Arabidopsis thaliana: one gene and its partners. The protein of the gene in region 2 interacts with the protein of the main gene of each other region in a pairwise test. Each region holds a gene or a part of one and is shown on either strand. Other genes may lie near its edges.

What was found.
Region 1: the proteins of AT1G19010 (region 2) and EML2 interact in a two-hybrid assay, tested with the Arabidopsis thaliana proteins (one large-scale study listed by BioGRID).
Region 3: the proteins of AT1G19010 (region 2) and AT3G61790 interact in a two-hybrid assay, tested with the Arabidopsis thaliana proteins (one large-scale study listed by BioGRID).
Region 4: the proteins of AT1G19010 (region 2) and AT4G32190 interact in a two-hybrid assay, tested with the Arabidopsis thaliana proteins (one large-scale study listed by BioGRID).

The regions. Positions count from the first base shown.
Region 1 is NC_003076.8:2,092,021-2,100,317, forward strand, and holds EML2 (Emsy N Terminus (ENT)/ plant Tudor-like domains-containing protein), read right to left. Parts: upstream 5,220-8,297; 5' UTR 4,792-5,219; intron 4,391-4,791; 5' UTR 4,358-4,390; coding exon 4,250-4,357; intron 4,182-4,249; coding exon 4,072-4,181; intron 3,978-4,071; coding exon 3,869-3,977; intron 3,757-3,868; coding exon 3,598-3,756; intron 3,072-3,597; coding exon 3,003-3,071; intron 2,798-3,002; coding exon 2,570-2,797; intron 2,493-2,569; coding exon 2,424-2,492; intron 2,327-2,423; coding exon 2,263-2,326; intron 2,174-2,262; coding exon 2,127-2,173; 3' UTR 1,868-2,126; downstream 1-1,867. Other genes in the region: AT5G06770 (KH domain-containing protein / zinc finger (CCCH type) family protein), read right to left, coding at 86-146, 689-767; AT5G06790 (cotton fiber protein), read right to left, coding at 6,068-6,697. UniProt on the Arabidopsis thaliana protein: Probably involved in the regulation of chromatin states. Contributes to RPP7-mediated and basal immunity, especially against Hyaloperonospora arabidopsidis isolate Hiks1. Regulates negatively EDM2-dependent floral transition.
Region 2 is NC_003070.9:6,562,955-6,569,778, reverse strand, and holds AT1G19010 (uncharacterized protein), read right to left. Parts: upstream 4,286-6,824; 5' UTR 4,164-4,285; coding exon 4,149-4,163; exon of another isoform or gene 3,911-4,148; coding exon 3,734-3,910; intron 3,367-3,733; coding exon 2,659-3,366; intron 2,485-2,658; coding exon 2,425-2,484; 3' UTR 2,117-2,424; downstream 1-2,116. Other genes in the region: AT1G19025 (DNA repair metallo-beta-lactamase family protein), read right to left, coding at 1-97, 179-399, 476-581, 656-859; AT1G19020 (CDP-diacylglycerol-glycerol-3-phosphate 3-phosphatidyltransferase), read right to left, coding at 1,377-1,637.
Region 3 is NC_003074.8:22,870,166-22,877,131, forward strand, and holds AT3G61790 (Protein with RING/U-box and TRAF-like domain), read right to left. Parts: upstream 3,669-6,966; 5' UTR 3,379-3,668; coding exon 3,151-3,378; intron 2,868-3,150; coding exon 2,481-2,867; intron 2,175-2,480; coding exon 1,809-2,174; 3' UTR 1,532-1,808; downstream 1-1,531. Other genes in the region: emb1703 (embryo defective 1703), read right to left, coding at 1-1,297; AT3G61800 (ENTH/VHS protein), read right to left, coding at 4,558-6,366, 6,496-6,681. UniProt on the Arabidopsis thaliana protein: E3 ubiquitin-protein ligase that mediates ubiquitination and subsequent proteasomal degradation of target proteins.
Region 4 is NC_003075.7:15,541,436-15,549,313, reverse strand, and holds AT4G32190 (Myosin heavy chain-related protein), read right to left. Parts: upstream 4,515-7,878; 5' UTR 4,263-4,514; coding exon 4,200-4,262; intron 3,914-4,199; coding exon 1,625-3,913; 3' UTR 1,457-1,624; downstream 1-1,456. Other genes in the region: ASY2 (DNA-binding HORMA family protein), read right to left, coding at 1-79, 150-246, 430-474; PANK2 (pantothenate kinase 2), read left to right, coding at 5,599-5,854, 6,024-6,239, 6,359-6,411, 6,666-6,782, 7,085-7,204, 7,330-7,424, 7,501-7,594, 7,721-7,852. UniProt on the Arabidopsis thaliana protein: Required for the initiation of starch granules biosynthesis in leaf chloroplasts. Involved in determining starch granule number and size in chloroplasts.

The DNA of each region.
Region 1 (8,297 bases), on a different chromosome or scaffold from region 2:
ACAACTATCCACTTCATTAGCACACTTTATACAGTATTACTTCTTAATTTCATGATCCAATCAGGAAAAAAAATAGATTTATAACCTGAAAAATTTAGTGCATGGCTTGGATTTGCTTCCTAAACCAGTTGAAATTGATTCCATCTCTGTTGCAAACATTAAGTGCTTTTACTTGGTTAAACTTTTCTACAATTTTCTCAATACATATCATTTGGACTTGGCACCAGTATACCATTCTGGTTTTGAAAATTTCCAGGGTTATAGAGTTTTGAAATTGAACTCAACAGCTTGAGTTGATACAGATCAATATATCAATCAAGTAAATCCAGTAATGTTGAGTGGTCACAAAGGCTAATGGGAGTTGATTGATGAATCCAATGAATATGAGAAGAAGGGTAAGCCAATAGCACAACACAAAGCAGAACAAGATACAAACTTCTCATATCAATTGTCTCCCAACTCTCAAGTAAGGTAATACCAGACTGAAGCAGAAAAAGGGTTTGCGACTAATCTCTCTAATGAACACAAAAATGAACAAAGGAACAACCTTTACGAGAGACAGAGCACACATTGCAACTAGAAATGAACAAACATAAGTGATACCAAAACATTCTCTCTTGTTGTGAAGATCTCGAATTTCTAAAACCCAATTGGAGACAATAGGAAGGAGAGGAGTGAAAGAACAAACCTTGCTTAGACCTCTTGAATCCGCCATTGGAGTTGTGAGAGGCAGCAGCTTCAGGGCGTCCTCTCTTACGAGCATCCATGTCTCGATAAGATCGATTGAATCGGAGTAGGTAGAATCGAAGAAAGATGAAATGAGATCTCAAAGTTTTGTGATATGAGCTTTGCGATTCTTATCCTTTTAAAATTCTATTGGGTTTATCATCATCATCATCATCTCCACACACACAGCTCAACAATATAAATGGGGGATAGAGGTTTGCTTAATTTGTTAATAATATAAATTAATTCGTGGAACACCAAAAGACCAGGAGACTAATTCCATTATTAATTATATGGATTACTATAAATTTAAAGTATATACATTAACATTAGAATGAATTTATGTTTTGACAATAATAGAGTTTATTTGATGAGACTGGAATCAAACTTGTACTCATGCAAGTAATAAACACCAAAAAAATATTCAACTCTGATTATTTGTACACATATTACTTTATATTTATTGTTAATTCACATCCAGTGGTTTCAAAAATAGAGAATTGTTAAATTTGCGCGTTTTAATTGTTTTATCATAGTCACATTAGTTTTAATATATTCAAAAAATACAGAAAAAATAATTTGGGTAACGAGTCATTTGTAGAAATTTTGGAAAAAAATCGTTAAGTTTGGCGCGTTTTAATTTTTTATCATAATCACAGTAATTTAAACTAAAAAGTAGTATTTTTTTCTGATAACTCTATCAATAACATTCAATCTAAAAAAAATACGGAACATATAATTTGAATAATCGATCGGTTTAAGATTGCCATTAAGATTGAACATATAATTGCCATTAAGAATTAAGATTGTCATTTTAACAAAAGAAAAATTATAAAAAATTTCTAACATCGGGTCGATAAGACGATAACCCTGATACTAATTTATTGTTAACCGTTCTTATAACCATTGAATATATTTTTTTAAAACAATAAAATAAATTGAAGTAAAGTAACCATTGAAATATTTTTAAAATTGAAGGATTCAGTGACAGGTGATTTATGTTGATCTCACTTTCCATCTTATATTCTTGCTAATTGAATCAGATTTTGAATGTTATGCTCAAAGGTCAAAAGCCTCTTCTCAATATTTACATGCTTGGTTCGATTCTTTTTACATTGTTTAGACAGGAATTGGGGATTTGAGCAAGTAAATTATTAACGATCCTGATGGCAAGCCTGATGATGATCACACAAGTTCAGAATTTTTTTTTAAAAATAGTGTTTTTACAAACAAAATTCCTAACGATTATTTTCATACATTCTGAAACCACAAATTAGAAGAATACTACTAATTGTTCATCATATATGAACAAAATCATTTTCTGGGATCCCTTAAAGCAAAACAGAAGAAAAAGAAATATTGCTAGTCATTTTTCCTAGGGGTGATGGTGTCATACATACTCACCCCAGCAGCATTGGAAGCTCATGCGAATACGGTTCTTCTCCATCTGGTTCACCAGCACAAATTATGTTGTTGTTAGTGATCTTAGTGCATGACAAATAGAAATAAACAAAGGCCGCTGTTCACATTTATTACCGCTTTCGTAATCAGAAGCATCCGTAAGCCTTGCAATGGCAGCAATAAGCGCCTGTTCATGTTCCTATATCATCCAATAACAACAACACCAAGTTTCACTTCACTGTTTCTTTCAATCGATATCTCGTCACAAAGTTCTTATCAATTATCATATCGCTCACCTTGAGTAGCTTCTTGGCCTTATCAAGCTCATGTGGATCAGGAAGGTTTGAATCAAAAACTCTCTCGACCTAATGCGAAAGATTTCGACATCAAAAACCCTTTTTGCCTAAAGAGAAACAAAATGCAGAGAGATAGAGATACCTACCTCTTTCACAAGTGAGTCTGTGTTGAACAATTCAATCTCACCGAAAAACTTCCTCCCACCACCGTTTTCCGTTGCTAAATGTTCTCTTCTTGGCTGAGTTCTTGGACCTCTCCCTCTACCACCATGGCTTAAGGTCCTTCGATTCCCACGAGTTGTTCCACCGCCATGTCCTACATTCAAAGTTACCCCATCTTCCTCTCCATCCCATCTTATATCTTTCGTTGGAATCTACAATTATATAACTAACTAACTTCAGATTCTGCTGAAAATGTTTTCATACTAGGTGGATACACTATACAAATGTTTCCCACGTAATCTTACTAATGAAAGCTACCTCCAAAAACAAATGTAACTTTACCCAAAAGACATTCTTGGCAGCATTTTCCACAAAAAACTTAAAAACCTAATAATATCAAAAACTCGTGAAGATTACCTCATTAAGATCAACCCATTCCCATGTCTCATTCACTGTGTTTATATCATATACCAACGCATGTCGACCCTGCGAGAGAACAATGAATGCATCAATTACAATATACTTAAGCTATGTTCAACGCTAAATACAGTTCCAAACTTCTAGATATATCAAAGTCATAGTATACTTTTCAACGCCTCATATGCACATTAACAGTAAACACCTCCTTTCTTCAATTCATCAAGAACTACACTATAGAGAGACTTGATTAACTAGAGAAGTCTTTCGACAAATGCCTAAACCATGATCCTAGACTAATCCAGAGTACCCCGGCTCATTCTGCCTAAACTTCCTTTTTAACTAGTGAGCTATCTAGCTAAGCGATTCGACTAGTTGCTTAGCTTTCTACACAGTTACAATCAACCTAAAGTAATTGCAATGCTCACTCACTAGAGTAACTCTGAACTATACGGTAAATTTCGATCAGGCTTTGAGGCCTTGGAGTCAGATATTCGAAGTACAGGAGACACCTCGACACACAAACATATATAATGCTGAACATATGAATTTCTGATTCAATCTCAATAAAAAGGTCTCAGCCATCAGAAGTTACCTCATTTGCATTGTATTGTGTAACTACTGCTTCATAAAAGCTGTTGTCTTCAGGCCATTTTGTCCACACTTTTCTTCCAATAAGAGCTTCCGCAGGTTCATTTGCTGATACTACACGGTTATTGAATGACTTACTTCTAGTAGAACCAATCGACGGATACTGCATGTGTATCACAAATGATATGATCAGTAAATAAACAGAAAACCATATGCAAATACAGATATCCTCTGCTTGTTGTTCTATGACCAAAGATTAAAACAAGAAGTCTTACGGATTGGAACGTCTTCTGTTTCTTCCGAGAAGCTGAAAAAGTCGGACTAGGATGAACATCGAGGGACTGATGTCTAACAACCTGGTTTCCACCTCTTGGTCTCGAATCTCTGTTGGTCCAGTTCCATCATACAACACATTATTACAAGATACAACGAAATCTAGATTCATAGCTTTACTATCACAAATGATCAGACTCGTTACCTTATTCTTTTGATAAGATCATCATTATGGACATTGTTCAACAGTTGTCGGTTTTCATCATCAGATATCCTCAATTCTTTACGTAGGTTTGTCATCACGGTTGCTTTATCCTATAAAATGAAACCATATAAGCCAAATCCTTTGTCTTTTGATGGCAAAAGGAAGAAAGAGGACTTACCCAAGAAAATTCATCAGCCTGTGCTTGAAAAGCTCTTAATACAGCAGAATAAGCTTCCTGCTCAAGTATATGAATCTGCGCTTCCATATTAATGTGTAGACCTACCATATACTTTCCATCCAAATGAAACCAACCCTTCTTCTGAAATGTAGAAAACACTTTATAACATCAATAGTTTAACAAACTACTAAATTTTCAGGTACTTCACGAAAAACATTGGCACTAATCAGATTCATGAATAATTTTGACAGTCGAGGTCTCATGAGAATGTAGGAGCTTATTGGTGGACTTATTGTATCAAGAAATTGGATAACTTTAGTTTAAGCGAATATTCGGACAGCAAAAAAAATAGACATGAGATGATCAAACAATCTAATAGAATGTGAAAAGAATATCTTAAACCCTAAGAAAGAGAATAATTTAGTAAAACCCTTTTTTTTAAACTCCAGTGATATTTCAAACCCTAGAACTGTTAGATCTCTCAATGGACAAAAGAGAAATGTCTTAAATCGCTCAAACTAAGTACAAAACAGAAATTATACCTCCTTATTCAGAATCCTGTCGTAAAACAGCAATCTTTATACGAAACCCTTAATTGTCGAAGAGAGAAAGATTGACTCCCAAACGCAGAGGCTATAAAGAGCTGATTGGATCCGAAGTGAGTAATTCGTAGGGAATTGAAGAGAGAAATTGAAAGAATTTGACAAAAAGGAAAGAACTTTTCTAAGTATTGGTAGAGATTGATCTTGATAAAAAGCGGAAGTGCAGTGTTTTGAGCTGGCTGGGCACAGCGTGCGATGAAGAGAGAGAGAAGAGAAGATCGAAGACGGGAAGTTCCAAGTTGGAGGAGAGAGAAACCTTAGTTTGGTCGGAAGCAGCTTAAGACAAGACGATGCGTTTTTGTTTAATTTCATTTTGGGCCTATTTTATGATAACATAGGCCTGTTTGGCCCAAACTGTTAATGAAAATATGAAATGTATGTTTTTTTTAAGGCACCTCTACTGGAGTCTCTAAAGTCTAAACTAAGACTTGTATTTATAATAAATAAAAGTTGGTTTTTATGCTAAAATTGTTTAGAATCAGGCTTGTTAATTTAATGTTTAAATTTTTTATATATCATAAAAAATAAAATTATCTATATATAAGCTCCATTATGCATAAGCTTAAACTATATATGAATATTATTTTTAATTGATATTACATAAAGTTAATAAATAATTTTAAATTAATGTAGTTTTAGTTAATACAATTATATAATTTAGGAAAAACTGAGATTTTGAAAATTAAAATTTACACTTTATAAATTTTATCAACATTTTGATATTTTAAATATAACTTGTTTTATATGTTGTCTAGCATTTTTAAGGTTACACTATCTTAATTTTTTGCATAATGATGTTATTTAAGGAAATATTTTATTTCTGATGGATCTTAGAAAAGTCAGATAAGTAAACTGAAAATCGAAATTGGTCCCGTTGTATACAACCAAAAGAAAACAACAATATCAGAAGATAGTAGCAAAAGAACGTCATAAACCACAAAAGCCAAAGTTACAAAAATCCATTCCATTTGTATCCTCTCTTCTCCTTTTTGGACTGTCGTCTATTCTAGTTTATAAACCACCACCATCAATATCATCATCATTAGACTGTAACACAACAAACACCACACAATCCATATATCCCTATGCTTCCAATACACATTTTCAGATAATTCAAACTATGCATGTGAGGAGTTTCAAAAGAAGAAAAGAAGGAAAAAGTGAAATCACATAAAAAGAAATGAAAGATACAAATTAGGCCCCATCATCATCGTTATCAACCGCTTCTATTCAGGGTTCCTTGGGATCTCCTATATGAATCAACTTTCTCCAACATGAACTTCTCATGGCAATTTGCTATAAACCTATCAGCCAATTTATCAATCTCATTCATCATCGTCTCTGTCTCCTCTTCTTGGCCGTCTTTAACTTTATCCTCTAGCTGTCTTAGATAGCTAGAGAGCTGAGATGGTTCTTGATCATCATCATCGCGACCATCCATGGATTCAGTGGAGTACATTGACTCCCAAGTCGATTCGTGTACGAGATGAGCTAAGTAGAGCTCTTCCGGGAGACGCACTGGCGCAGAGACAGGCACTACGTGAGAGGAGCAAAAGTTGTAGTGAAGTCTGAAGGAGCCGAATAATATATTATTCTTTTGTTTCTTTGAGACTCTCTTTGGATAGAGTAAAGAAGACACTGACAAGAAATTGTATTGCTTCTTTCTCAAGACTCTAACAAGAATGGATGAAACTCTAGATATTTCTCGGAGTAGCCGACAAACTTGAGAAATGATGAGAGTTTGTATTAGGGATTTGAGTTTCATGGAGCTTGAGGTTGGTGAAGAAGAAGATGAACATTGAGAAGAAGACATAGAAGAAGATGTTGATTTGAGTGGCATTGCCATTCTCTCTCTCTTTCTCTTGTTACAAATTAAATCTTTGGTTGGGAAAGGCTTATTTCTAGTTGAACATCAAATATTATGAAGAAGGGTTTGACTGAAATATCCTTATACTTTTGGACTATTTAAAGGGATGCCATTGCCACTCTACTTTGGAGAGTTTAATTGTGGTCGGGGTGGTGTGTGTGAGCCCACTTGATCTGACGTGTTTAACGAATACTAGGAAAATCTCAGATTTGAAAGAAAGAAAGAAGAAGTGACTTTAGATTCAAGTAACTGACACTGATCATTGCTTCTCTGTAGTCTGTACTCTCTTTATTTCAACTACAATTTTCACATCTTTGCTAATTTCTGTCAATCAATAGCTATAATATTACCACTGAATAGATTGCAAAGTTCGACAACAAAAATGTAATCAATAGTAGTTATTATTAGTTTAATGTCTTTCTCTGTTAATGAAATCAAATAGAGTGAAACTATATCCATCATTTTGCATGGTTTAATTGATCCACAGTTTGGTCATTGGTGTAACACCAAGTATGTAATATCGAATAACAAACCTAACGACTTTACTAAACATTCAAACGGATATAATAAAGGTGGGATGACGAATCTTAGACCACATGAAACAAATTTGTACAGCACTTTTATGCCCAAAAACAAATCCCTAGGATCCCCATATCGAGTCTCTATGACCATATGCCAGAAAAAAGATTCTACTACCCCGCTTCCTATATTTCAAAATATTTGCATTTTTTAATTTATTGTTTATCTACTTTTTGTCTTTTTTTTTTTTGTTTTTTTAAATATAGGTTACACAATCTATATTTAGCCCCCAAAAAATTATAATAAAAAATACAGTTTTTAAGTTGGACAAACCAAACTGATCAACAATCTTAAATTACGCCAAAAAATAAGTTTTTTTTCCTATGAATTGCCTTCTTATTAACCGCAACATTATAAACATCAATGCCTTAATCTAAGAAGATCTATACAATCAATTAAGTTACTGAAATTAAAAGAAACAACATATTTATTGGCGTTGATAATTAGGGTTACATATGCACCTTATGTCCCAAATTCGATATGATGTTGATAAACAAATTAAGCGGAACAGCTTCTGACGAGACAAGATAAGATAGCAAAGGACTCGACCTGCGCTTTTTTGGAAAAGGTCACTACGATATATAAGTTTTGCGGTGACACGACTTTTGATAGTCTGAGTAGAAAAAAGAATTAAGAATCCAGCGAGTCCTCTCAATCATGGACGACTTTTTGTCACGAGCCAACGGTGAAAGACAAAAACTTTTGTAATATGGGCTTTTTTAATTAACATCTATGAGCCCATCAAAATAAAGGATCCATTAGCCTGGGATGTTCAGAATGATCAAGTCAAAAGAAATTTTACATCTCTCTCCGCTTCTTGACATTCATAACATCTATCTTTGCATTCACATCTCTAACGATAATAAATCATTTAGCAATAGTGCAATACGGATAGAAACCAGTTTATCAATTCATGAAGAAAGATAATTTTTAAAGATTTATGATATGTTTGTTCATATGTGGAGATTCGGAACGTATTTGAAATATTTTTTTATTAAGG
Region 2 (6,824 bases):
TTCTAGAAACTTCTAAGAGAACATCCTCTTGTCCCAACATATCACAAGCAAGATATACAACTGGTGCATCTGGGTGGTTCCATATGCAATTGATGATCTGAATTCATTGAACAAGAATGAAAATGGAGAAACTTTACACAGAAACGATTCCAATGCATAATGATTAAAGCCAAATCACCTGTCTAATAGCTGAATGCTTAGTGGGAAACCTCTGAGAGTGAGATGATTTCCCAAATGTACAATCTAAGAAAATGTAACCAAGAGAGCATTTTGGTTTCATGCCATGGCTTCTTCCAACATATTTCTCAGGTAGACTATGTAGACAATCTAGTGTAAGCCTACAATCACCAGTGTGAAGTATGTTACCAAAACTTCCTTCAAACAAGAACATAACGGCTCCTGAAGTTTATGAAATTCGTCACAATTTGGAAAAAGCTAAGACTTTAACAAAAGCAAAAGGTACAAAGGAAGTTACCAGGACAATGATTAGCATCAAAAGCAGTAACTTTAAACTCGCCATCAGGATCATCAACAATCACTGATTGACCAATTTCAACTCTCACGAAGTAAGACTCATCAAGCTGCACAATTATGACAATTATTGAGGAAACAGAGAAGGAAACACGAAGAGATAAGAGATAGAGGAAACAAAAACCTGAGGGAAACGTTGAAGAAGAAGAGAGATGGTGAGGGAAGTAGAGTAAATGGGGAAGACGACAATGTTAGAAGGAGAAACCCCAACGGTGTGATCTTTATGAGCATGAGTTAAGAAATGATGTCTCTTTCTTCTCTTCGTCTCCGTGTATGGTCCAAAAGTGTCGACGGCAAATGGTAAACCTCTTGGCATCTCTATCGACATCACGGCCCTCTAACGCCGGCGACGGATATAACCAATGACTAGGGTTTCTGCTTCCGCCGATAATTTTAGAGTGAAATGTGATTCTGGTTGCTTTCTAGGGTTTTGGGTTCTCCGATTGATTTACTCTGAAGAAGAACCACTTCAGATCCGGCGGATAAAAATTGTTTCTGCAGAAGCGAGGGAAAATTACCCTCCGATCTTAAAAGTAAAATTTATAAAATTACACGTTATATACTTCGAAATAAATCGTTTCTTATTTTTATATATTTATGATTTAATCGCATAATATGATTTTGTCTAAACGATAATTCGTTGTTATTATAGATGTAATAATTTAAAAATTAAAGAGAAAAACAATTTAATTAATCCATGAACCCACCCAAACTCGAACAATTTACCACAGTAAACAAAGCATTCAAATCAAACAAGCTTAGAAAAATATAGATCAGACATAATACAGTATTTGGCAAGTGAATAAATTACTAATACTCATATACAAAGGAGTTTACAGAAATCTTTATTGTTTGTGTGTGGTTTTGTGATACTTGTCCTTGACCCAACGAAAACCAATAGCAGAACCAGTCTTGAGCTTCTTAAAACCAGAAGAAGCTACAGCTTTGGTTTTGTCTAACCCTTGTCCCATTTTCTCCTTGTACTTGGTCGTGTTTGACGTTGCTCCACTTCCGCTGCTTCTCACGACGGCGCCGCTGCCGATTCGGCCTCCTTTGGCAGAGTCGCCGCTATTGTCCCACTGGTCAGCCCACGATGTTCCGTTCATTATTGTATATCGTCTTCTCAAAAGTTTTAAAATCGAAATGGAATTTGTACTTTGAAGTTTATTTGTGATGTTCTCTCGGTTCCTCTGTTTTGTTTATATACACATTCATATTTCAAGAGACGCGTTATGTATGGTCAAACCTTGTGTTCGTGAACAAATATGACTTCTATTGATTTGCTTCTTCTTTAACTTTATTTTATATGAATTGTCACACTCAATATAATCTTCTGGAACATTAAAAGAATCTCTCGTGGAAAAAATTGAAGTAAATTCTTTATATTTTATAGAATCAAGTACACATTGAGGAAACTTCTTCAAATTCCCCGAGTCTAGACGAAGACTCTTCAATGTTTTGACTTGACGACTCTGAAGTTGAGAAACTCAAGCATAACGACTATTTTTTTTTTCTCAAGGTTCTCGAACAAATCTGATTTTCTCATTTGGGTAAAGAATTTAAAATCGAGGAGATAAGAGAACTAATAGGTGGATAATCAGAAAATGCTCTGTTTTATAGGCTCTGAGTAAAATAAACATGATCGTCTTGTGCTTTGGGATTAGTCAAGGTATAGAAAAGTCGGACGATTAAAAATGTAACCAAGTAGTGTGAGAAATATTCTAACTCAACGACCAAAATTAGCTTCTTCCATTAGTTTAATAAGCTGAGAAATGGGGTTATATATGCCAACAATCTTACAACTACAGCTAATTTCTCTAATCAACCATTTTTCCCAGAAGATCAAATGGAATTTGATGACAGGACCTTCGAAGATTACTTGTGACTTGTGAGTCAAGGAACATCATCACATTGGCTCTGCTGCAACCCTTTCTTCTCTGAGAATGGTAAAAGCTATGCCAACAAAAAAACCCAAAAAAAAGGTCAGAATCTTGAGTATTTTATAGAACAAACCCACAAAACTTTCAAGATAATAGCTATGCATAAAGGTAATAAAAAAAACACATGGACAGTGATCAGAAACTGTCACAGCAAGAGGAAACCGAAAATTTATCTAGATTCACTAACCTGACGAGCGACCTGAGCTACACGTCGACTATCACGAGATGGTTCAGTGCTGGTGAAAGAATCCAAATACGCGTTGTCTTTCTCACCAGTCTTATGTCTCCTGCTTCTGCTTTCATCGTCGTCATCATCATCTTGTGAGGAGGAACCTCCTCCTTCAGGGCTGTTACTTCCATCCTTATTATGCTTCCTCTTATACGAGAATTTGATACACTGTTTCTCAGAAGGCGACAAAGGTGTAGTAGAAAGCTCAATATCATTCTCTTTCGCTTCTTCCTTCCTTGCTTCTGTAAGTGATTCCACATCAGCACAATCTCCATTGATAGTGTTCCTTTCTACCACCTCAGCTTCTCTGCATCTACTTAGTATGGAAGGAAGAGTATAAAGACAAGGATCTTTATTCTCTTTATAAGAACACCGGTTAATACTAAGATCTCTGTCACTCATATGTGGTTTAATAACACTAGCCACAACTGATCTCTCGTGGTTGCTAGAGTCCTCACGCACTTCTAAAGAAACTGCTTCATTGGGGGCTTTCTCCTCTTTGCTAAGATTTGTTTGACAACCATTTGCCAATTTCTCCAGGAGATACCGCGATTCTCGTAACTCCGTCCTTAACTCTCCTACTATATCTTCAGCTTCTCCAAGTTGAGCTTCAAGTTCCTCAATCTTTTGCTGCTTCTGCAAAGATATCATTTCTGCCTCCTTGACCTATAACCACAAATTCTTTTAATGAAATAGAGTAGAAGAAGAATTTGCAACAGAAAGGAAAAATACAGCACAAGTGACATTGAAGTCCATCCTCAAGAAAATGTACCACAATCTCAATTCCCAAAGCTATAATCAAAACAAGAGTTACTGAAATAAGTGTAAACCAAAGAACAGTTTCTCATACTACCTAGGTCCTCGATACCCTATATAAGCTCATTGTCATCACACAAAGCTCAGAAATGTCAAAACTTTATCCTCAAATCAATGTCAAGACTCAAAATATTAGCTCAAGAAACAATTTAGATGATGAAAAGTTTCTTCAAGTTTACAGAATCCACAGAAACAAATCTAAAAATTGAAAATTTACCTTGGAATCATATATCTGTTTAAGCCTAAGACATGCACGAAGAGCCTCATCTCTAACAGACGCAAGCTCTTGCTGATACCCACGCGCTTTCCTCTCAGTAATCATAACACGCGCCGCCGCTTCCTTGGCTGTGTTCAGTATTGTCTCAGCGTAAGCCTTCTTCAAGGCGGTTAATTTCTGCTAACCATTAAAAACACAAAACAATTCATCGCAATCCCAGAACGGAATAATCAAAACCCATATCCGAAATACCAATCCAGATCAATAAACGAAATCAGAGACAACAATCCTTTATATAAAGAGAAATGAAACCTAAAAGAAACAGAGAAGAAACAAAAAAAACTTGTTTTTTTTTTAATTGGGAATGTGAAGTCGAACACGGCGGAAATTTAGGGATTGAAAATGAGATTTTTACCTCTGGGTCAGTCATTAGGGTTGAAAATGCGGTTACGGCAAGGGAATTTTTTCCCGACCGAAGTCGTGAAGAAGAAAAAGAACGAGGTAGAGAAGAGAGCAATCCTTTTTTTTTTGTTTTTTTCTTCCAATTGTTTTGCTTTTTTCCTTGAAGAAATCTGTCAGTTAGGAACGGAAAAGATAGTAATTACGTTGTTACCCCTGAGTTTTCCACTTAATTACGTTGTTACCCCTGAGTTTTCTACTTTATTACAGGAACACCACATTCATTCACTTAACAAAATGTTAAAGGACGGTTTCACAAAATGTAAAACGTCACCGGTTGAGAATTATCATTCATATTGGTACGAATCACTTATTAGCAATAAGTGTTATTTAGTTAAGGTGAATTGTGTAGCATAGACTAAGTATATGTGTTTCGTTGTTTGGCCATTTGAACTAATCTTAAGAATGTTCAAATCGATCTTAAAACCAATCTTTAGTTGTTTTATCCAAACGGTAATTTACTTGTTTTGTCTTAGGTTTTTTAGCTTTCATAGAGAAATTTACAAGCTAGAACAAAATTAATCTAGTATGATACGTATTAAGGTACCTATGGTCATGGTGTGAGGCGCATTGACATTGTGTGGTTTCATTGTATGAGTCAATAATGTCTTGTTGTTGCCGTGTGAGTGTGGAACAACTTAAGGTTTTCAAATACCATAAAGGGCTTGGAATTGTCAAGTGGGAGGTAGAACATCATTCAATCTTTAAAAACCTATTTGAACAAATATTATTTTCTGTTTAAGTACACAATCCTATCATGATCCACCCTTTTCTAAAATTCTGATTTGGGAAAGTCACATACTCATCCAAATTGGCTAAAGCGAAAACTAAAAGGAGAAAAGTCTCTTTATAGTGGCTTTATCTAAACAACTCCTTTAACTTCATCTTTGTTGTGTGCAACCAAGAAAAGGTAATGGTGTCTTTCATTCATAACCAATATATGTGCTTTTCCTTTTCTTTTTCTTTTCCACAAGAAAATGTTTGATTAATAATTAGAAGATTTTTATATCTTTCCTATCATGCAGCATGCATGTTGTTAAACCCCCATGCTTAAACTTCGATGGGATATGATCATGACACCACGTTAATTTTTAAGTTAAAAAAAAAAAAAACTAACAAGATAAAGCGTAAAAGTTTTAAGTCTCTAGTTTGTTTTAAATCACTAATTGCAACAACAAAACATTTTTACAATGGAATACTTCTAATGTTGAATGATTTGAGTTAAGACGACCAAAGATTAAGAAGATAAACCAGAGAGAGTCGATAGAGATAGAAAGGTTAAGTTCATGTGCTGAACCAAGATTATTGGAGAAGCTCATCATATACTCTTTTCTTTTTGTTAAACCGTGTTACATCATTAGCTAGACTCCAATTTTTTTTAAGTTTTATGATCATTGTGATTTGTAAAGAAATTTGTTATAGACATTGAACTTGTAATCTCTTATTTAATTTGCAAAAAACAATATTTAACCAACTGATCAACAACGGTCATTTAATCGTACAATATAATTCTTATAAAATATCATGTTTATTTGCGAACATATAAAGTCAACCCCGATCAGCAACAACCTTCTCCAAAATTTGTGTGAATTCAATTATTTCTTCACTATATTTGCAAGAATGTGGTTATACTATACTTTTGTGTGATATTTTCAATTAAAATAGAGTTTAGTGATATGATCCACATGACAATATCCCTTAAAACATGATTAGTCAGTCGAATTAATCGGTCATGTGTTTCACTAGTGGTGTGAATGTGAATCAATCAGTTTGTAAACTATGAGGAGATTCATACGTTAATCATGCTTGTAACTTGTAAGGGATTATCATCATATCTGGTTTTAAAAGGACAATTTGCAAGGGAAATTAAAACTTTAAAAGGCTATTAATTGAAGGGGAAAAGGAAAAAAAGAAGAAGAGAATTGATGGATACATAAAATACTAGCTAGTATTTAAAGTGATGAGGATATCATGTGCTCCCATTGGCCCCATGTCTTCATCAAATATTTTGATGCCACAATTTGGAATATTCTTTTGATTAGTTTATCAATCATTTAATCCTAACCAGAAGTAATTTGTATTTCAATAAAAACAATGTTCTAAAAGGGATTTGGAGGATTAATTTAGATTAAAGCGAAGGATGAAATAAAGAGTACTAACAGATTGAGATTATCAAGGTAACTTTTTGGTTGCTTGTGTGATTCGTTACAAGCTAGCTAAAATAAGATAATGGTTTTTATATAAAGGTAATCAGGTTGGATGTAATCGGGAATCGCACTAAGTAAGTTGACCAGATTCGTTTAACACTAACATTACATTATAAAACACACTTATAATACCATCTTATACAGTTTAATTATGAACTACCATTCAAAAATCACATTTCATCTTCATGCGCATGACACACCATACTTCCTTTACCAACTTTTTTTTTCTCATTTCTATATTCAAATCATCAATAAGAAAATCACACTAGAAACCATTTTTTTTACGTGAGAGAAGGACGTCGAGACACATTCACTTTGCTTGAACAAAAAAAAACACATTTAATTAAAATGACAAAAATAATGAATAGAGAGAGAGACATTATCAGAATATATCCAAAGAAAATAACTCATTAATTAATAAATCC
Region 3 (6,966 bases), on a different chromosome or scaffold from region 2:
TAGCCCCATTCAACATCGGAACAGCAAAACCAGAAAGTTCAGTGTTCTCACTGTCAGTCGAAGTTCCCAAGCGTTCATCTTTATCATCATCACCTTCACTGTGTGTCAAAGCCTCATGTGGAAGACTCTTCTGTGACTGAATGCTTATATCTTCCTCATTGTCGCCTGTTTCTTTGTTCACATCGAGCTTCTGCTTTTCATTAAGTTCTATGCCAGCTTCTATCTCCCGTGCTCGTCTAGCCATTGCTTTGATTTCATGGATCTTATCAACAAAGTCCAGCTCAACATGAGGAGAATTCACGAGTTCCAGTTTCTTCTCTGAACCCTTAACTTTAGAAATACTAGTCATAAGTTCATTTCGATCAAACTTAGGCTTCTCAAATGACATCAATGGCTTTTCCAAACCCTCCTTGTGCAAAACTTCCACGGTACCTTTCTCCGACATATCCCTTTCCTGCCAAGCTTTCATCTTTCTCCTCATCATCTCCTTCTCCAACTCTGTACACTCAACCTCATTACTCTTCCTATACACAAGCACCGTCTTCAGCAACCAGAGTCCAATGTAACCACACAAAACAGCTCTTCCAATCGCCGGCAACTTTGGAATTAAGTCAAGACGAAGAATTGCGTTTTGGACTGAGCTAACGAGACGAAACTCTTCCTCTGAAGAAGAAGAAGAAGAAACGAACTTGACAAGAGAACTCTCCTTATGGATCACATGTTCCCCATTCTCCATTTGTTCAGCTAATTTCTTCGCATATACAAGCTTAGAACTCACTGATTCCAAATCCCCAAGAGCTGATCTTCTTCTACTCAAGACCTCGTCTTCATCAACCTCTACTTTCTCTACGTTTCCAACAGAATCCTGATAGACAGTGAAAATGGGATTCGAACCAATACCCCAAAACTCTGCTTCCTTGTTATACCGAGCAACCCAATCTTCAAGCTCATTCAGCAAATTTGAATCTTGAGCAACCCTATCTTTCAATCCCTCGGTGCTACTTAAATCATCACAGTGACCAAACTTATGGCTTTCGTTTAGAGGTTTCGTACCTGGTTCAGAAGATTTCGGAGTCGAACGCCAATACTCATCACCGATGATCTTCTTCCTCAGCGAATTACGTCGCCTCGAGGTCTCTCCGAACCGAGCCGAGACTCGGAGAATTGAAACGCGATAGTAGTGGAATTTGGAGATGGGCAAGTTGAATCGACGTTGGTTAGCGAGTCTCCTGTTCGAATTGGACGAGAAAGACGAGAAATTGAAGAAACCATCATTGGAGTTTAGTAGAACCTCCATTGATGGAAACCAAAGGGATAAAGCTCACTTCCGAGTGAGAAAACCCCCAAAAGCTGGGTTTAACAGAACAATGATGAAACGTCGTCGTTTCTTAAACAAAGCTAACGCCTTTGAACAACACTACAGTTGAAAAAAGGTTCAACATTTTACATTTTCCAGATATAAAGCTCATCACTTCCAAGTTCCAAAAGCTGGGTTTAACAGAACAATGATGAAACGTCGTCGTTTCGTGGACACAACACAAGCATTACATAAATTTATGAACACTACAGTTGATAAAAGTAAAAGGTTCAACATTTTACGTTTTTCCTCCAGATATAGCAGAATTGTAATGAACTATATATTTTATAATAAAAAAACCTCCATGACATGAGAAAGACAGAGAGAGATACATAAGAACAACCCCAAGTTTATCGTCAGAGAAAACCCTAATTACAGATAACCATGGTTACAGAGACAAGGCCAAATCGGTGAGGTTTTCAAAATCAGTTTGATTTTTTTTTTTTAATTTTCAAGACAAGTTTGGGATACAAGCTCCTCCACCTTCACCACTTTGTTGTTGCTCTTTCCATATCCTTCCAGTGACTCGAAGTTTCAGCTCTTTCCTATCTCCACCTGAGAAGAAGAGAGCCATGTTTCTTTGTATAATTAGTCCATCATGACTGTCTCTAACTTTCCTGTGGCTGTCTCTTACGCTTCTTGGTGTTCCTTCCCATATCAGCTTCCGACCATAACCTCCCACTTCTAAACTGTAATTGTAGTTTCGAGCTTCTGTCTCGTCCCCCATGAAACGCAGGAACGCCATGTAGACTGGAGCCATTCCGAGCTGGAATGCCTCAAAGTGAAGACAGAAGTATTGACCGAAGCAGTGAAAGACCTGATTTTCATTTTTGAACCAGAAACAAAACCAAAACAGAGGAAACCTTGATAAGCATTAAAGTATATCAAGTCAACATGTATAGCGAGATGGAAGATTCACAATTCACAACCATAGATTAGATAAATAACTGGACCTTCTCTAGGAAAGCTAACTCGCAACAAAAGCAAAATTTGACTCAGCTGATCACATTACAGTTTATACCAGACAGATCAAATTTTATCACAAATATAATCCTATTACTTTAAACAAAGCCTCCTAACTTATCTAAGTGTATACTATGAAGCACGATTCATATGTACTTACAGTTAACATCCATGTGGCGTTTTCGACTTCACGAGGATTAGACTTGACATAACGATGGTTGAAAGTACACCCAGAATGCATATCCACCTTATGATCATCCCTCAGATGAGCAACTAAGAAAGGGATATCGCCCGTAACAGAACACTCGGATCCAGCATAAGGGCAGCTATAAGGTCTGAAGTTACATACAGTCTCATGTTTGAGCTTACTGTAATAAGGGAAGATTTCAGGACATCCAAGTGACATGTGTTTACAAGGTAGTTCAAGTGATTCGGCTACTTTTTCCAGTGCCAAACAACGGATATCACCGAGCTCTTGTCTACAAGTTGGGCAGCGGTTGTGAACCCTGGCTTTACAGGTTGAACACAACGTATGTCCATTGTGACACTGTAGGGAAATCAAATAATTGTCTATCTGTTATTCCATAATTCTCTAAAGAAACAATAAGAAGAATCTTAGAAACTATCAAAGCTATTGACAAAATTTAGTGACAATTGTTTCAATTGTAGCCATTAGTGAATGGATAAAACTAAATTTCAAGTTACAAGAGCAACACAACCACTGCTTCAACATCCATGATTCACATCATTAACTCAAAACCCTAAACAAAATCAACAAATTAAAGATCCGGGGAAACGAAATCAGAGAACAAGGGATTGAAAAGAAAGACCTGATGAATGGGAGGGTACATAGAATTGGTGCAGACAGGACATTCGAGAAGCTCATGAACACTGGTGGTGGTAGGGAGAAGCCCAGAAGCAGCAGCATTAACGTTGGTGGTGTTGTTATTAGTATGATGATGCTTGGAAACAGAAGCGTAGGAATGGCGATCTTGGTGGATCTCTTCATCATCTGTCACATCCATGGTTGATGTACAGTCCATGCTATCCAAATCCATTGAAGAAAGGTGGAGACTTTGATTGATCTTCGATCGAAACGAAAGATCAAAATCCGGAATTGAAGAAACACCACCGAAACAGGTCAACCCTCGTGAAGTGTTGTTAATTTTCAAAAACAAAAAAGATAGATGCTCTTCTTCATCAATTCTCTAGAGAGAGAGAGAGAGATAGTTGCCGTCAAATGAACCGGAAACGCTGATTTAAGATCGGACGGTCACAAAGGCGGCTGTGTTAAAGAGAGAATGTTATTTGGAAACAAATTGAATTATAAGAGATTCAGAAGAATTTACTGGATAGGGGAAAAATAATCATATTCTAATAATATACGTACAGTATATCCTCTCTCACTCAATGATTTCTTTGTTTTTAATTAAAGGGCCATGATCCAGTAGAGATGGGCCTAAATATGTACATGGTGCACATGATTGCTTCTTTTTTTTTATTCTAGATGTTTTTCTCTCTAGTGGGATTCTGTCTATCATTATTGTGTGTTCTTTTTTTACTTTTAATTCAAACAATTTCTTTTCCTTTGTACAAGAAAAATGATTTTCAACTTCTAAAATGACAGCTAAATTCAAAGATTCATGAAAAACATGCTCATCTTTCTGTTTACTTTAACAAAAACTTTAAGAGATGTATTTAGGTAAAATTAGACGGTTTAAGAATATGAAATTCATAAGAGGAATAATAAGTAATGGGATGTGGCTTGGGTTCAAAGTCACTTCAAAGACCAATGATAATGTAAATGAACATTTTACTCTTCTTCATCTCAAGCAAACTCTCACAATCTTAAAAGCAAATTATTCAATTAATAATTGCTTCTCATCAGTGATCGGTCTCATGAGTGATATCATCCTTAAACACACCACATAAAAGAAAAAGAAAAAAGCGAACAACAACGATCCATCCAGCTTCAATGATCTGTCGTTGCTTTTTAACAGAACATGTCAATTGTACTATTATCTTTCTGTTGGGTTTTGTGACTTTTGTCTGAGAAAAATATAAAGCTTCAAAGAATCTGGGACTTGACTTAAGAACTGTTTTCACAGCTACAAGAGATCACAAGCGGATCTGATTATTCATTCATCAAATATTCTTTAGCTTTTTACTCCTATTTGCATCAAACAATCAAATTTAAGGCACTACTGGATCAAAACTAGAAAGATTTTAGTTATTTGTTACCACTGGTTAGCCGATGTATCCCGGCACTTTTCATCATTGCCCTGAGCCAACTGCTGTGGATTAGTACCTTTTACTCGATTACTAAACAGTCTCTGGGATATTCTATCTTTAGCCGTTGTTTTCTTACGCCTTGTGGAAAAGGTTTGCTTCTTGTTTTTCTTTTCAGCAAAAACTCTATCAAACTCATCATCCATAGCATTCGATCTAGAAGTTGAGGCTATTGCCGCACCACGCAGAACTTCATGATTGTGTTCCTTAACCTTAACCTTAACAAGCTTTGCTCTTTTCCTCACCACTTCTTTGTCTTTCTCCCGGATATTCTTCAGAGCCTCTTTCGCTATTTGCCTAGCTAACTGATTAGGATCAGAATCTGAAGTTGTTTCATCCATAGACACATCCTGGTTGGTCCCTGAAGTTGAAGAAGTTTGGTTTTCACTCTCATCTAATGGAGATTCCTGGATTATGGTGTTTCCTTCATCATCCCGGGGTACAATGGGTCCGTGAAACGGACAGACTCTGAGATCTCTTCTCTGGCAAAGACCACCTTTCTTTAGAGAAGCACGGCATGGAGGTGTCTCTGTTCTCTCTTCTCTATACACGGTTGCCTGAAGATTCAATTCTGCTATTTTATCTGCTGGAATTATAGCATCTTGATCCACCCTGCCCCAGTGGCTCTCGATCTCTAAACCCCGGTAATTAGCTCGAACTTCCGTAGTTGATTCCCAATTAGTCAACTGTGATCCCCAATTCATCACAGGCGCTTCAGAAATTAGCTTGTCTCTAAGAGAGTTTCCACTGCTTCCAACTTTTTTAGTGTTCGACACTTTATTGGACCTAGCTTCTGATGTAGACTTCTTTGCTTCACCTGATGATGGTAAAGATGAATTCTCACTCTGCTGAGTTCTCATCACATGAGCCACGTTCTTGACTGAATCAGTTTTAACCTTGCCATCATCCTCCTCCCAGATATCTTCTTCTTCCTCGTTTGTTTCTTCATTACCGTGAATATCAGTCATTCTTGACATTGTAAAACCAGCTTCTTCCCATTTCTTTTTAGCTGCCAATATGTTATTCCTGATATCAATCAAGTCCTTCAACATGGAATCTCTCGTTCTGTTATCACTTACGTCAACCCTAATGAGAAGAGAGATCCCTTCTTGAACCGAGATCAGATGCTTTGTCACTAGAAGCTTGCACTGTTCCCTCAACACATCAAATACAATTCTGTTTTCACCAGTTTCTTCAACCTTTTCTGATTGTTTCAGTGAATCAAGACGAATTTGCCTCAGATGAGAACAACGGATCTCCTCAAAATCTTCCTCATCTAAGATCGCAAGTGGAACACCATCATCCCCTCTCCACTGAACAATTTCCATACACTCCTTGATTTCCTTTATCGTTACCTCAATCTCATACTTGAAGAGTCCAAAACTAACTCTCAAGGAATCAAACTTGTTCCGCAAAATCTCTTTTGTCTTCATCTCCCTCTCCTGTCTCTCTCGTTGAATCCGTGCAGCATTAGCCTGTAAATCAGGGAACTTTAACTTGAGGGTATTCTTAAGGTAATCAAACCCAAGTCTAAGCTCCTTGTAATGAAACCCAAAAGACAAATTCCACTTCTCCAAGAACTCAATAGCCTTTGAACGCAACGTAGTGGCAACAGCAGGTGGTGCAGGAAGAGGCAGATTGCTTCTAAACCCAATACTTAAACTCAAAAGCTGATCAAGATTCTCAATTATCAAAGTTCTAAAGAGCTTTGATCTCATGAATAGCTCGTCGATTATGAAAAGCGTCAGATATCGAACCTGTCAAAGAAAATTATCACCGCGTTATTTGACCAACAAACCTGATCAATCAACATTGACTAGTCCTTAAAAGAGCAAGTTTCAATGAATTGAACGGATCAGAAATTGTTCAAATAATGTGAAAAAAACCTGAGAGTGGTTATGTCTCATGAGCTCCATTAGGGTTTGCGAACTAAGTCGGACCTCCGAATCAGAATAGCGAACAATGGATTTGATCGCCTTGAGAAGCCTCGGGTCAACCTCTTGAGCAGTTGATTTCGTCGCTTTCTCTATCAACCCAATAACTTTCCCTCCGCCGTCATCTCTTCCTTCCATCGCCGGCAATCAGAAATTCAGATTTTCTTCTCCTTTCTAATTTCCGAAGAAGACGATATAAAAAGAAAACCGAAAAAGAAAAAATTAGATTTGTGTTGGTTTAATATTTGTACCCACTATAGTCGGTTTACTTGGTTAAACGAAATGACTTATTTACCCCTCTCTCCCCAATTGGTTCGAAGTAACGTATTTGCCCCTGTTTGTCTAACCTCTATTCACCAACTTAGATGGGTGTTAATGTAATTACGATAAATATCGTTTATATAGTTGATGTGAAGTTTTCCT
Region 4 (7,878 bases), on a different chromosome or scaffold from region 2:
TCGTAGACCCCTTTCTCCATCCAGCCAATCAATCGGCGTGATTCAGCGTCCATAGGCATTAGCTTCTTCATCTTCAGATCTATATTGTGATTCAAAAGCGTCAGGTTCCCATTAAACAGTTGTAGAAACTTCCATGGTTAGTGTCTCACCTAAAGCAGGAACCGACATATCCTTGAAATACCGCACGGGAAAGAGGCCTCTGATGTAACTGATATTGAAGATGGCAGTACGGAGCAATTCCGTAGTCTATTTCAACACAACGAAGAACAAAACAAACAAGTCAGAGCCAAAAATATATGTATCGGCGTGATTGAGAATCGAAAGACGAAAATCCATCTCTAGACGCAGGACGCTACACACGCAAACTAAATCCAGCTGCGAAAATCACCAGCAAGGAACGAGAAATTGGAGCTAGAAGAGGTGACTTACCAAAATGAGCGATTGCTGCTCGTTGTTCTTGCTTACCACCACCATCTTTGGCTGAGAAATTTCGCCGGAAAAACCCTAGAATCGCATAGACGTATCTCTCTCTCTTTCGTACGGAAAAAGACTCAGAAGCGGGAGCGAGTTTGAAAATTTATAAAAAAGTTACTCAAAAAAATAGAGAAGGAAATTTAGGGGCAAGGTTGGTATTTGGCGATGCTAGTAGGGGTGATCCTATCAGTTACACTCTAACGGCCTACTATCTGTGTATACATGCTGTTGTAGGCATAAGTCCCAGGGTACGTCGCAAACCTTTTTCTATCAACGACACCTAAACGAGAGATTACCCTTGGCAAGAACCTTGTGGTGGCAGCCACTCTCGGCTGAATTTTATCTACGTAATAAACAAATACAAATCATTAAAAATCACTTAGTTTTGAGATCACTTAGACCACCTCCAATGTAATAAAAATAAATGAAAACAAGATATTAGGCTAAGGATTGATCCTAAGCTTAGAGTTTTAACATTTGTTAAAGACTTTAGTTGTGTTGCTTTGTGACTGGCTGAGAAAAAACTATATAAAAAAAGGATTATGCATTGTTTTAATAATGCTTAAATCTAGTCGTTATTTAAGTTTTTTGATTTGTATATTTTCTTTTTGCTTTTATATCATGATGTATGTATACAATTTTAATATTTGTAGTAATTATTAAGTATCAAAACCCGACTTTTGTACTTAGCATGAACGATTGAAATATGATTTGATTGAGTATCAGAGTATATATATGGCAAAATTTTGGTCCGAATCAAGCTTAAATATTATCCTTTTTCAAATTTTCATTTCTATATATTTTTTTGCTTTTATGTCATGATGCATGTTTACAATTTTATTATTTCTAATAATTATTAAGTTTTGTCAAATAAAAAACTTTATAATATTTTATTTTAAAATCTTTATTTTTTTTGAAGAAATCCTCTTAAAGTCTCCACCACCATTGGACAATAAAAAATTGTAAAGATTCAATAAAAACTCTAAACTTTAAATTATTTAATATTTATTATTATAAAATGCAAAGAGTTCTTGATTAAGACTCTCCAATAGACTTGCTCACAGTGACAAGTAAACATATTTAACCGCCAGTAATTCTACATATCCACAAAAGAATCATACAGATTAGGCTTATAAAGTTAATCAAAGCTTTATAAAATTACACCTTCCATGCATGTAGATGTACCAGCAACGATTCCTGCGTTCTCCAGGAGTTTCTCTGTCAAGGACCAGAGCCTGACAACTTCTGTTTTTACCTCACCAAGACACTCATTACTTCCTTCTGAATACCCTCTCTCTGGCATTACAGTGTGAGTTGTGTCGGCCTCAATGCTCATGTCAGCTTGAGTTAACAGTTCCGTGCTCATTTTTGCAAGCTTCTGTAATGCACTGGTCGCAGCTTCAACTTCAAGGTTAGCTGCCTCAAGCTGAAGCATCTCTATGGCCAGATCACCCATTGTTTTTTCCCCGACTCTCTCTTGTGCCAAGGCATATAGCACTTTCAAATCTTCACTGTCATTGATCGTTTCTTCTTTCAATTTCTTGAGTTCCTGCTCCTTGGCTTCTAATCTTCCCATGACCACGTTGATCTCTTCGTCTTTAAATGTCAAAGCCCTCTGCACCGCTAGAACTTCCATTTCTTTCATCCGTAGATTTTCTCTGGTGAAGCTTAACTCCATCACCAGCCGTTTGTTCTCCATTCCGTAATCATCATGAGGTTTCTCTAGTGGTTGCTGCATTGAGTCAATGCTTATCTCATTGTTAATCCTCATTGCATTCTGATTTTGACCGTTGGTGGTTGACATAAGCAGTCTGTTCGTCAATTCTGCAATTCTTTCCACCACCATTTCAGCTTCAGTGACTTTCAGCTTGGAACTGCCCAACTCACCTTCTATTCTGTGAAGGTGGACATCTTTCTCCTTCAGCATCTCAGTTGCCTCCATAAGCTGATCTTCTCTACTGATCATAAGTGCCTTTAGCTCTGTTACCTCCTGGTTCACTTCTCCCAATTTATTTCGAGCTTCAGCGAGTTCTTCATCCTTTTCTTGCAGTAATAGTTCTAGAGAAGCCTGTTCGGACTTCAGATGCTGAATCTCTAGTTTGGCCTCCACCAAACTTGACTCTTTCTCCTGAAGTAGATTTTGTGATACCTGAAACGCATTAGCTTTTTTGTAAAGCTCATCTTGAATAACGGATATATCATGCATAGCTAGCTCCAACAATGGTTTCTCTTTCTGCAACTCCTCTCGTAAATCCTCCAGCAATTCTTTTTGGACCGATATTTCCCGCTCAAGCGCAAAATTTTTAGCCTCAACAACTCTGAGCTTTACTCTCTCACTTTCAACTTCAGTGTGCGCATCCCTCAAGCTTTGCATATATGACAACACACTTTTCCTCTGTTCCTCGAGTTCCTCCAATTGTTTTTCCAATAGTAGCTCTTTTTCTTCCATTTGCTCCCTGGAAAATACCAAAGCTTCCCGAGAAGAAATAAGCTCGAATCTTACATCAGTCAGAAGCTTTTTCACTTTCATGAAGTCCTCCATGGTTTCATTGGCTTCTCCTAAACGTTTCACGGTTTCCTCTTTAAGCTTATTCACTTCATCCTGGGCTATCAGCCACTCTTCTGTCTGTTTCTTCAAGTTGGCTTCTGTTTCTCTAAGCTTTTCTTGTTCAAGTTTCTTCGTAGCCTTAGAAATCTCTAATTCTTCTTCCTTCTCCTCAAGAGCTCTCTGAAGTGCATATATTTCACCTTCTTGTCTCTTGACAACTTCGTTGGCTTTGCTTAAGAGTTGTGACTTGCTTTCAAATTCAGAAATAGCCATAGAAACCTCCTTGCTTCTGTTTGCAATCTCTTGACGCATCTTCTCTAGCTCTTCCTCTTTCAAAGTCAAGGACGATTGCAAAGCAGCACGTTCCTCGTCTCTTTCCCTTAGCTTATGCTTTAACTCTTCTATCTCCCTGGCTTGAGAAGCTAACTCCACATTTGCCCGCTTCAGCTCCTCTTGTAGACTCTCATGCTTCAACGAAGCTTCAGAGATTGTTTTCTCACGTTTTTCTAACTCCTCCTTTGCCCGGTTAAGTTTATTTTTGTCAGAGAGAAGCTTCCTCTCAGCATCGTGCAGGTCCTCTTCCCTTTTCAACAAGGCCACTAGCGCAGCCTCAAGGTCAGACTCAAGCACGCCAAGGTTTGAATAGGGGAGATCATCATCGTCAGGATAAACCGAGTGTTGATTGGTTTGTCTCTCCAATCTGTGTGTCCGAGCAAATAATTTATCGAAAAGAACATTTGCAGACTCAGCTGAGCCATTGTCGTTGATGTTGGGTCTTGTATTGTGCAAGACTGATTGAACACTCAGTAAAAGATGTCTCTTTCTCCTTGTAATGCTCGGGAATGCGACAAGACTCTTCTGCTTATGGTTTACTACTCTTGTCAAACAATACTGCATAAGAAAAAATCATATGGCCGACATCAAAATCAAAATCAAAAGTTTGATTATTTTGGACAGACACTAATCAATATGGATGCAAGCAAACTTATTCAAATTAAAGGAACAGTATTGAAATTTGCAATCTTTTTAAGCCAGAACAAGGAACAATCAGAACAAGGCCAGCAAAAGTCAAAAATTCAAGTTTGATAAAGTTAAGAGTAAGTAAAGTGTTGTGAATCAGCAGCGATATATAAATGAAAATATAGGGGATAATATAGAGAAAGGTAAGGAAACAAACATCGCAGGGAGAGGGAGAGGAGAAGGAAGCAAGATTCAAGCGAATGGCCTGAGAGAAACCCATCCTGAGAGCATAATTATGCAATCGCCATGGAGCTTAAAGACGGAACAAAACCCAAATCCACTGGATCAAATTTAACAAGTGGGCGTTTTGGAGAAGAATGCTTACGAGAACAAATCCAAGGAAGAAGAAGAAGAATCTAGCTAGGGAATGGATATTGTTACAAAATTCTTTTACCAAAAAAAAGGATACAAAATAATAAATAGAGGCTCGCGTTGGCTTGCGAGTTGTGGTCGCCAGTAAACTCGAAAGTCCTTTTTGCCCTTATTCATAAGATGCATGTCGGCATTGTCCAAATACACGGCCAAGGGATCTATTTGTAAAAATAATGGACTCTTCTTAATTACGTACGTGGTAACGGTTTTCTAGTATGACAATTCTCTTTCTTTCGCGTAGTCGGCTAGTCGCGTGGTTAGAAATGCTTACACACTAAAGAGTATGTTATATTAAACTGGAATATAAATTTAAGAAACTGAATAAAAGTCATCAGGCCCATGACATTGGCCCAATAGACCCAATGAAAAACCAATCCATCAGCTAGTTTTCTTAACATATCAACCCAACGAGGTTGTATCTTGTTACATTTGCAAGTGAACTTTTTTATCATTAAAAAATGTAACAATGGTATTTTTGGTTTAGTGTTCCTAAAATATTTGTTTCCCACATAAGATTTTATCTACACCAAATAGTCCAATTGTATAATATAATCCATCTTCACAAAAGCATTTTAAAGGATATCCTACCTTCTAAATTCCGGCGAAAAATATCTTAAATCTGAAAAAGTGATTTATCGTGAATAGTGTAATGTTAGCAAAATCTTAAACTTCAAAAAATCGTAAAACATAAAGAATTAAGTGTGACGGATTAATTAAGATATCGAAACCAACACAGTAATCCTCATCTATGACTTGGAAAAACTCATAAGTGGCAAGTGGAGTTCGAGTTTGGTCATTATTGTGAAACACCAAACCTAATCCACTTACAAATTCATTAAAAACTACAAATTTGTGTGGTAGTTTTTTTTTTTTTTTGGGAAATTTATGTGGTAGTTAATTAGTTAACAAACAATTATATATAAATACAAATTTTGTTTGGAGTTAGGTCCGCTTCAGCCTGCTTAAGCGATTCTAAGCTTAGTCGTATAATCGTATTAGCAAAAGCTCGAACAGTTTACTTCTTTACCCTGGAAAGTCTTATCATCATCAGTTCGTGTCGTTTGACTTTTTAAACTTTGCAAGGAAGGGTTTTGTGGTGGTTTGGGAGAATTAGGCAATTGTTGGTGATCCGATTTTTCTGGGTTTGGTTGGGTTCCTTTTTTATTTTTTAATAAAAAAAAAAAATGGCGGGTCAAGAGGATGAGTATGATCCAATTCTTGACAATAAAAGAGAAGCTGAAGCAAAATCTCAGGTTTCTGTTGCTGCTGATAAAAATATGGCTCCTTCTACTTCTGGTACTCCGATCCACAGATCAGGCTCTAGACCTCAGCTTGATCTAAGCAAAGCCGAAATTCAGGGGAACCTCGAGGAGAGAGATCCCACCATTTTATTGCCTAATCAGTCTGATGATATCTCTCATTTGGCTCTTGATATCGGAGGTGACAACAAATTTCACTTCTTTTTTATTTTCACTGTAGTTGACCATTGATCTAGTGCTTGTGGTTCTTCCAGTAGTATTTGGTGTCACTTCTTGGTTTTGGCAATTTCGATGTTTATTTCTTAAGTGCTATGTTTGAGAATTATGAACCCTTTTAAGTTTATTTGCAGGTTCTTTGATAAAGTTGTTGTATTTTTCACGACATGAGGACTACTCTAATGATGATGATAAGCGGAAGAGGACGATCAAGGAGAGATTGGGTATTACCAATGGCAACTTGAGAAGTTATCCTGTTCTTGGTGGTAGACTTCATTTTGTCAAGTTTGAGACTCACAAAATTAATGAGTGCTTGGATTTTATTCATTCCAAGCAGCTTCATCGCCGAGGTATTATTACTTTTATCCTTTTCAGTGTATGAAATGTTGTTTTGTATTATAAGATCAATTTCTGGTGATTTACTCTTCAATTCGTCTTCTTCTCCATTTCTTTTCAACTAAATGAATAGATCCTTATCCTTGGAGTTCAAAGACCTTGCCTTTGGGGACTGGTGTTATCAAGGTAATCGCATTTTTATGACTTGATTGTTTTTATCTTTATCACCTTTTGAGGCTCCTTCTGCATATATTTAGCTCGCTCTTTCATTTGAGATACCAGATAACATTTAAGACCCTCATAATTATTGTTTTTAGGTGAAACGTTTTTTATATTTATAAGTCTTGTATATCCATGTAATGTGATTTGCTGATTCGGCTTTGATTAGTTGATTATTACTTGTTTTAAACATATGAGTCAAGCGTACGTGTATCTTTCAGGTCACAGGTGGCGGGGCATTTAAATTTGCAGACTTGTTCAAGGAACGGCTGGGCGTTAGTATTGAGAAAGAAGATGAAATGCATTGTCTTGTTTCTGGAGCAAATTTTTTGCTCAAGGTAAGACCTTTCTTTATGCAACATTCCATTTATGTTGTCTCTGCATACATATTTGTACCTTTTATTACTAGCACTTGCGAAATAGAAACGTAAAGACAGACTCTCATTATATGTGACCGGTTGATTTGTTTGTTGAAGTTCTGAGTCACATGAGAGAAAAACAGCTGGATATCTGTATGTGTGTTTTACTATACTTAAAGTTCTGCTAAGACTATTGAAATTTTGCAATTAGTCTACTTTTCTTTTGTCTATTTGCATGTGTATGTTTTGAATTTATTCTTAGTTTCTTGCATTTTCTGCAGGCTATTCGACATGAAGCCTTTACGCACATGGAGGGTGAGAAAGAATTTGTACAGATAGATCCCAATGACTTGTATCCTTATCTTCTTGTGAACGTTGGATCTGGTGTTAGCATAATCAAGGTATTTGTTTACGTTTGCTACTTTTTTCACAATCAGTGTGTGTTTGGCTCCTTGAACTTCTGAATTGGGAGGTCAGAAGATTGCATGGACCTGTAGATTTCATGCAATGGCTTTTCAAAGTATAGGTTGATGGTGAAGGAAAGTTTGAACGTGTGAGTGGAACTAATGTTGGCGGTGGTACCTATTGGGGCTTAGGAAGACTTCTAACGAAGTGCAAGAGGTTACAGAGCTCTGATTTTACATTATTTCTTTATATTTTTGTTTCCTATACCTTACACTGTTTTCTTTTGTTTCAGTTTTGATGAATTGCTAGAACTCAGCCAAAAGGGAGATAATAGTGCCATTGACATGCTCGTTGGTGATATTTATGGTGGCATGGATTACTCCAAGGTAGGAGTCAACTTTGCATCAAACTACATGTGATCTCATTTGTTATAGGATGTGACTACTCTCCTATTGAAACTCAGAATGCTTTATTACTACTGTTCTAGTAATTCTCATTAATCAATCATACAGATTGGTCTCTCTGCTTCAACAATAGCTTCTAGTTTTGGCAAGGCGATATCTGAAAATAAGGAACTGGACGATTACAGACCTGAAGATATTTCCTTGTCTCTGTTGCGGATGATTTCATACAATATTGGGCAGGTATGCATTGGCGAGTCCAAAGGATT